Linked DNA regions of Macaca mulatta. The protein of the gene in region 1 purifies or fractionates together with the protein of each later gene. This does not show direct contact. Links are inferred from orthologs where the notes say so. Each region holds a gene or a part of one and is shown in the gene's direction. Other genes may lie near its edges. The genes, in order: CECR2 and SMARCA1.

Evidence for each region.
Region 2: the proteins of CECR2 (region 1) and SMARCA1 purify together in Homo sapiens (affinity purification with mass spectrometry; 3 studies listed by BioGRID and IntAct, with this or other methods). This does not show direct contact. The link is inferred for Macaca mulatta from reciprocal best matches to the Homo sapiens genes CECR2 and SMARCA1.

Annotation. Positions count from the first base shown.
Region 1 is NC_133415.1:34,540,999-34,544,819, reverse strand, and holds part of CECR2 (chromatin remodeling regulator CECR2), read left to right. Parts: intron 1-772; coding exon 773-902; intron 903-2,215; coding exon 2,216-2,253; intron 2,254-2,339; coding exon 2,340-2,431; intron 2,432-2,690; coding exon 2,691-2,817; intron 2,818-3,821. UniProt on the Homo sapiens protein: Regulatory subunit of the ATP-dependent CERF-1 and CERF-5 ISWI chromatin remodeling complexes, which form ordered nucleosome arrays on chromatin and facilitate access to DNA during DNA-templated processes such as DNA replication, transcription, and repair.
Region 2 is NC_133426.1:135,974,928-135,978,748, reverse strand, and holds part of SMARCA1 (SWI/SNF-related matrix-associated actin-dependent regulator of chromatin subfamily A member 1), read left to right. Parts: intron 1-972; coding exon 973-1,139; intron 1,140-1,480; coding exon 1,481-1,581; intron 1,582-1,687; coding exon 1,688-1,788; intron 1,789-3,821.

The DNA of each region.
Region 1 (3,821 bases):
GTCACATTTTTCTCCTTGCCTCTTTTCTTTGGCCCCTACCTCCTTGTTCCCTGCAAGTGGTAAGTGCTCCATCAGGCTGGGAGTGGAATGCCAAGTGTGCTGCTCATGGCTGTGGCTGGGAGCCAGGGAAAAAATCATCCCTGCCTTCCAGCTCCTTGCCAGTCCCAGCTGGCATCTTTCCCCTCTTCTCAGCCAAACTCCCACTGGTGGCAGGGCCTGCTGCTTGCTGTAGGCGTGGGGTGGGGAGCAGACCATTGCTTGCGTGGATGCCTTCATAAACACAGAACGTGAAGAGCTGGGGCGTGCATTTAAAATCCTGTGTGTGTGTGTGGACTGAGAGTCTGGTCCTAAAAAAGGATTTGCGGATGTTGCTTTTTTTAAGTAAAAGATCAGAATGGCCTCAAGTAATCCAAGAAGATAGTCCTCATTCAACCTTGTACTTTTTCCTTTTTCTTCAACTGCCATTGTGTTTTCTTCTGCCTTGCTCCCTTCCCTCCTGCCCACCCTGTGCCTGCCCTGTCACCTTCGTTCCCCACCTCAAGCTCAGTGTGAGTGAGGAAACAGGTTCAATTAGTTAGTTTACCCATGTCTGAAAGCATTCCATCTGTGGAAACATCCTGATTACCCAAGAGAGGGTGGCACAGGGAGCAGAAGTTGCTTCATAATCCTGCTTTGGTGGCCTGGTGTCTTCCTTCTCTCACAATGATGAAGGAACACGCCACGTCAGCGTCTGGAGCGTGCGCAGCTCGCTCAGCCTTTGTGTTCGTTGTAGATCGAGCGAAGAGGAGAAAGCTCAGGGAAGAAAGGGCATGGCTGCTGGCTCAAGGGAAGGAGCTCCCTCCAGAACTTTCCCATCTGGACCCCAATTCCCCCATGAGAGAGGAAAAAAAGACTAAAGACCTGTGAGTATTTAATAACAACAGCAACAGTAGCAACTGGTAGCATTTACGAAGCACTCAGGCACTTTCCCCGTGTCATCCTTAGAACAGCCCTGGTGGGTAACATTGTCACCATGTGCCAGTGCATGGGGCGGGCCCTGCACTCACAGCTGACCCCGGTGCCCTTCCTCAGGCACACACAGACATACCTGGCTACCCCGGCCTCTGACACTCTTGCTGCCACACTCTGTGGGAGCAGAAGTAAGACTTATGCTAAGCTCTTCTTTCCTCATCCCCTTAATTTAATGAAATCAGAATCTGATTATTATGTAAATGAGCTCCTTGGAAATGTGAATAGCAGTTTATCTGTTTGAGGTTATTACTTCCCGTGAGGTTACTAGGTACCATGTGACTTTACTGCTCACTGAAAATTCAAAAGGCAGGTACACATTCAGTGTTCTTGAGCTCATTCATCGTATGCTTTTTTGAATTAAAAGTAAAATAAAACCTGGTTAAGAATGTGCTATAGGCAGGGCTCACGCCTATAATCCCAGCACTTTGGGAAGGTGAGGCAGGCAGATCACCTGAAGTCAGGAGTTCGAGAGCAGCCCGGCCAATATGGTGAAACCCTGTCTCTAATAAAAATTTTGTTTGAAATTAGCCGGGCGTGGTGGCACATGCCTGTAATCCCAGCTGCTCAGGAGGCTGAGGGAGGAGAATCGCTTGAACCTAGGAGGCGGAGGTTGCAGTGAGCCGAAATCGTGCCACTGCACTCCAGCCTGGGTGACAGAGTCAGACTCTGTCTAAAAGAAGAAAAAAAAAAGATTGTGCTATAAAGCCTGGGCAACATGGTGAAACCTCACCTCTACCAAAAATACAAAAATTCCCCAGGCATGATAGCACACACCTGTAGTCCCAGCTATTCAGGAGGCTAAGATGAGAGGATTGCTGGAGCCCAGGAAATCGAGGCTGCCGTCAGCTGTGATCACGCCACTTCACTCCAGCCTAGGCGACAGAGCAAGATCCTGTCTCAAAATAAGTGAAGAAATAAAGAATGTGCAATTAAATAACCAACATTCTAGAACCATAAAGTTCTGGATCATCTAGCAACCCCCCATTTTATAGATGAGGGAAGTGAAATTCCCGGTTTTGCTAAGGTCCACTGTCCCTCATTTTGTATTTCTAGGAGCGTTATCAGTATCACAGGCTCATCTAAACCACACTATTAGGACTATTCCAAATCTTACTTCAGTCAGGTGTGTCTGCGATAGACCTGAGAGGGCTCAGGAGAGAAGGTGGTCAGAGTTACTATTAATTTCTTATTTTATGATTTACAGCTTTGAGTTGGACGATGATTTCACTGCTATGTATAAAGGTTAGTTCCCATTCTCCACTGTTCCGTTTGTGATGGACATTTTCCTCTGTGCGTGTGTTAATTAAGATCTCTTCTCTGGCTCTCAGTTCTAGACGTGGTAAAGGCTCACAAGGATTCCTGGCCCTTTTTGGAACCTGTGGATGAATCTTATGCCCCTAACTATTATCAGATTATTAAGGTAGAAGTTGTGTTTGCAGTAATGCCTACTATAGTCTGTGTATCTTTCTTGGGTTTTGTCATTTGTTTCTTGTTTCATGTATATATTTTTGATGTATTTTTCTTTTCAACTGTTGAAAGTTCATGTCATGTTTCTCGTTTTATCTGTTATTCGTTACAGAGCAGCATTGCTGAATCCTCATTCTCTCTCCGTCTCTCTCTCTATGAAACGTTTTGCTCTCAGCATACTTTAACTATAAAGAGTTATGTGTCTCATTTAGGCCCCCATGGATATTTCCAGCATGGAGAAGAAACTGAATGGAGGTTTATACTGTACCAAGGAGGAATTTGTAAATGACATGAAGACCATGTTCAGGAATTGTCGAAAGTATAATGGGGAAAGTAGTGGTAAGCGGGGAAGGAGTTTGCACTAGATACATATCTGTAATCAAGAATAAAATGCCTTCTCTTTTATAAATACACGCCCTAGTGACTTTTCTGTAGGACAGTGAGCAGAATGTGTATGAAAAATCATGGGATTGACCATTCTAGCCGCTTACCACAGTATCTGCCAGGGACTCTCCTGGCCCGCAGGACAAGAGAGTGCAGCTGGCGCCTAACTGGCTCATCCTGGAGACCAGTCTGGTTCTGGCTAATACTGTGTGTGCCTCTTTAACCACTAGATAGAGCTGACTCTTCAACCATCTGGAGAAGCTGGCGTAGTAGATCTGTAATATCAAAGTAGAAATGGCTCCTCCTACTTTGGGTCATTTATGCATTAACTCAAAATGCCCTGCTTAAAAACAGCAGATTCAGCCATTTTTTATTTAGTATTTCTGCAGTTTAGCCTTAAAGAATTAAATTTTTACTGGCTTTTTTTTTTTTTTTTTTTTTTTTACTTACTTTGAGACAGGATTTCGCTCTGTCACCCAAGCTGCAGTGCAGTAGCGCAGACATGGCTCACTGCAGCCTCAAATTCTTGGGCTCAAGGGATCCTCCTCCCTCAGTCCCAAGTGGCTGGGACTATGGGCAAGCACCACCACACCTGGCTAATGTTTTCTTTTTGGTAGGGACGGACATCTCGCATTCTTGCCCGGTCTGGTCTTGGAACTCCTGGGCTCAAGTGATCCTCCTGCCTTGGCCTCCCAAAATGCTGGAATCACAGGCATAAGTTACTGTGCTCAGCCTGGTTTGATTTAATAGTCCTAGAGGCCCTGTCCCAACCATACAGCCTTGGGCATCTTAGGATAGAAACCATGTCTTCTTCATCTTGCATCCATAGCTCTGCAATATAATGTGCCCTAAAGGTGAATTAAACTCATAGTTTACCCAGGTTGCATCTTTTATTTGTTAGAATTGTCTTTTGTGACATATAGTAGGTCAGTTTCTATAAACTATAGTTTCTTTAAACA
Region 2 (3,821 bases), on another chromosome or scaffold:
GAACTCTTCTGTAAGTTTTCTGGGTTATTAATTATGCATCCTTCATTAGCAATCAACTATTCTTTACTCTGTGGTTGGAAAGCGACTTTGAATAAATAAATAGTCTATTTTTTCCTTTATCTAGAATGATGTATATGTCTTTTGATCTTTTAAGATTTTTTAGTGAAACAAAGTTTTATTGCCTGTATATGGTACATGTTCCCTGACCTTTTACAATGTATTGAGAAATTAGAATACATATCAACTTTTAATAGTTAATATATATTAACTATTTCACATATATGTGTGTGTGTTTATATATTTTTCCCAAATTCTGCTTACTTTGGGGAGAAAGTTTATATGCTACTAGCATAAAATACAGTTTTCTAGATCCCTGTGAGTGAAGAGAGGACTGTTTGTTACATTACTATACCATGACATTGAAAATATTTTGAGACAAGATGATACTGTATTTTAAGATTTAAGTTATTTCTGGATACAACTTGAAAATTCTTAAGAGTTCAGTTTATGGTATATATATATAATAGTTAATTTATATTTCAATATTTGGGATATGTTACATATTTGATGCTTAATTTTGTTACTATTTTATTTAATAAAATAATGTTTTGGAAAGAGATTTGCTTTATGATTATGACTCTTTAAGAAGGATATTTGTTACTGGGGAATTTACTGTCTGTCAGATCATTTTTCTTCCCTTCAAACTATTTGAAAATACATTTTCAAATTCTGCTATTTATTAGCTGTGCAAGGTTGGGCAAATTACTTACCCTCTCTGTGCTTCAGTAGCATGTAGTTACAGTGGAGATGATACCTGTAACTACGTCATAGGTTTCTTAAGATAATTGAGTGGATTAGTATGTTTAAAGTGCTAAGAGTGTTGTACAAAGTAAATGCAATGCAAGTATTCGTTAAATGACTTTGAAGGAATGAAAAGCAAAGTCCTTACTTTTCTTTTGTTTTGCAAATTAGAAAGCCGACCGAGCAAAGAGATTTGAATTTTTACTGAAGCAGACAGAACTTTTTGCACATTTCATTCAGCCTTCAGCACAGAAATCTCCAACATCTCCACTGAACATGAAATTGGGACGTCCTCGAATAAAGAAAGATGAAAAGCAGAGCTTAATTTCTGCTGGAGAGTATGTTGGCACCTCTCTCTCTATTTTCTTTCCTTTCTCCTGCCTTTTCTTCCTCCTGTCCTCCCTGATCCCTTCATGCACCCCTTCCCTCTTTATTGTTCAGTATACCTTCATGTGACAAAAAATAAGGGTATTGCCATTATAATTATGTTTTGAAGACACCTATATTTTTTTCTCACTAGAGGCTGATCAGTAAAAATGTAGGCTGGTTCTACCGATTTCTAAGCAATACCTTGGACAACTCATTCTTTTTCTGTAAAAGATAATAGCCATGTACACTGATTTAATTGATACCTTAGCATTTGGGTCGAATATGAAGGGATTTCCTTTTTTAATTTCAGCTACCGCCACAGGCGCACAGAGCAAGAAGAAGATGAAGAGCTACTGTCGGAGAGTCGGAAAACATCTAATGTGTGTATTAGATTTGAGGTATCACCTTCATGTAAGTACTTCATCACATTGGTGAGTTCTTTTTCAATTTAGTTTTAGAAAAATTTTACTTGAGTATATTAATGAAAGTATGAAACGTCCTTGCATTTTTTCCCCAGATGTGAAAGGGGGGCCACTGAGAGATTATCAGATTCGAGGACTGAATTGGTTGATATCTTTATATGAAAATGGAGTCAATGGCATTTTGGCTGATGAAATGGTAAGGAATCGGTAGCTAAAACCACATTCTCAGTTATCAATGATTTTTATGTAAATTTGAAAAACCTGAGCTTACCTGCCCCCGCTCCCCGATGCCTGGAGGCTTTTTTAAAGTTGTTACCATGTAAAAGGTATTTTGTAGCCTTAGAATTATTATTATTTTTTTGAGAGAGGGTTTCTCTGTGTTGTCCAGGCTTGAGTGCAGTGGTGCAATCTCGGCTCACTGCATCCTCGACTTCCTGGGTTCAAGCGCTCCTCCTGCCTCAGCCTCCTGAGAAGCTGCGACTCCAGGCACGTGCCCACCACACTGGGCTAATTTTTATTTTTATTTTTAGTAGAGACAGGTCTCGCCATGTCAACCAGACTGATTTTGAACTCCTGGGCTCAAGCAGTCCTCCCACCTCGACTTCCCAAAGTGTTAGGATTACAGGTGTGAGCCACAGCACCTGGCTAGAATTGTTTTGTTAAGTAACCGCTAGAACACAGACTTTCACAGGCCATAAAACTCTGCTTTCCTCAAGTGGTCCAAAAACCTTCCCTGTACTTTTGTTTTTGTTTGCAGTTTGGCTTCCAGGAAGCACAGAGTGAAGATGGATGCCCAAATGATGCCTTTATGTAACTTTTTAAAAAAAATTTTTTTGAGATGGAGTCTTGCTCTGTCACCCAGACTAGAGTGCAGTGGCACGATCTCAGCTCACTGCAGCCTCCACCTCCCGGGTTCAAGCAGTTCTCTGTCTCAGCCTCCTGAGTAGCTGGGATTACAGGCACCTGCCACCACATCCGGCTAACTTTTTTTGTATTTTTAGTAGAGATGGGGTTTCACCATTTTGGCCAGGCTGGTCTTGAACTCCTGACCTCGTGATCCACCCGCCTCGGCCTCCCAAAGTGCTGGGATTACAGGTGTGAACCACCCCCACCCTGACTTTATGTAACCTTTAATGGTCTGCCCCATGTGTCCTTCTGTCTTTTCCTATTCTTTATCTACTTGTCTTTCTTACTTTCCTTGTCGTCTCTTTATTTCTATTTTGCCATCAATTTATGTTCCATGTTTTGATTGTAGGCTACCTGAAATCCTTTTGGGAATAAGGCGGGGTATACAAACCAAGCAATACATAAATGACTGACTGAATATATGCATGTGTGAATGAATATCAATATTTTGACTTGTGAACAATCAAAAAGTGCATAGGTGGAATAAGGAACGAATAAAGAGTAATGCTGAATCTTGATACAGTACAGTGCATGGTGGGGCTTTGGAAATCAGTGAAGGAGTTATAAATGTGTAATAAAATAACCGAACAGGAAAAAGTAAGGCACGTAAGATGCTAATTCATCAGCTAAAAGGGGAATATATGAAGGCCTATATTTGTATTTGAAGACCAAATTAATAAAATGGGATTTAAGAGAGGGCAGGGAAAGTTCTAAATCCATATAACTCAATAATATTCGTATTTATGTGACTCTGAAACCATACTTGTGACCACTATTATCCAGAAGAGCCACATGATGATATGTGCCCTATGGCGTCTAGTATAGTTAGTAGTCAGTTGCATAAGTACTCATCCCTGGTTGAGCAACTGTTGGGTGTGTGGCAGAGGATCCCTTAAAGCAAGGGTCTGTAGCTCCTTATATTTAGGTATTCTGATTTGAAGACTATTGTCAGTTCAGAGGGGGAGGAGCTTGGTAAGTTGGACAATGGAAGGACCAGGATTATTTGCCCCAAGCAGCTCTTGGCTGCAGCCTGTCTAAACATGAAGGATCTGGTCTTTAGTGATGTATTTATGCTACCAGATATATATAATATATGATATATAAAATATATAAAAAATATATATCTAGTATCAGCATAAATATATATTATACATAACATATTTATATAATATATAATATATAAATATACATATCATATATACTTAGATATAATATTTAAGTATATATGATATGTATATTTATATGTATATATATTTTTTGAGATGGAGTTTTGCTCTTGTTGCCCAGGCTGGAGTGCAATGGCGTGATCTTGGCTTACTGCAG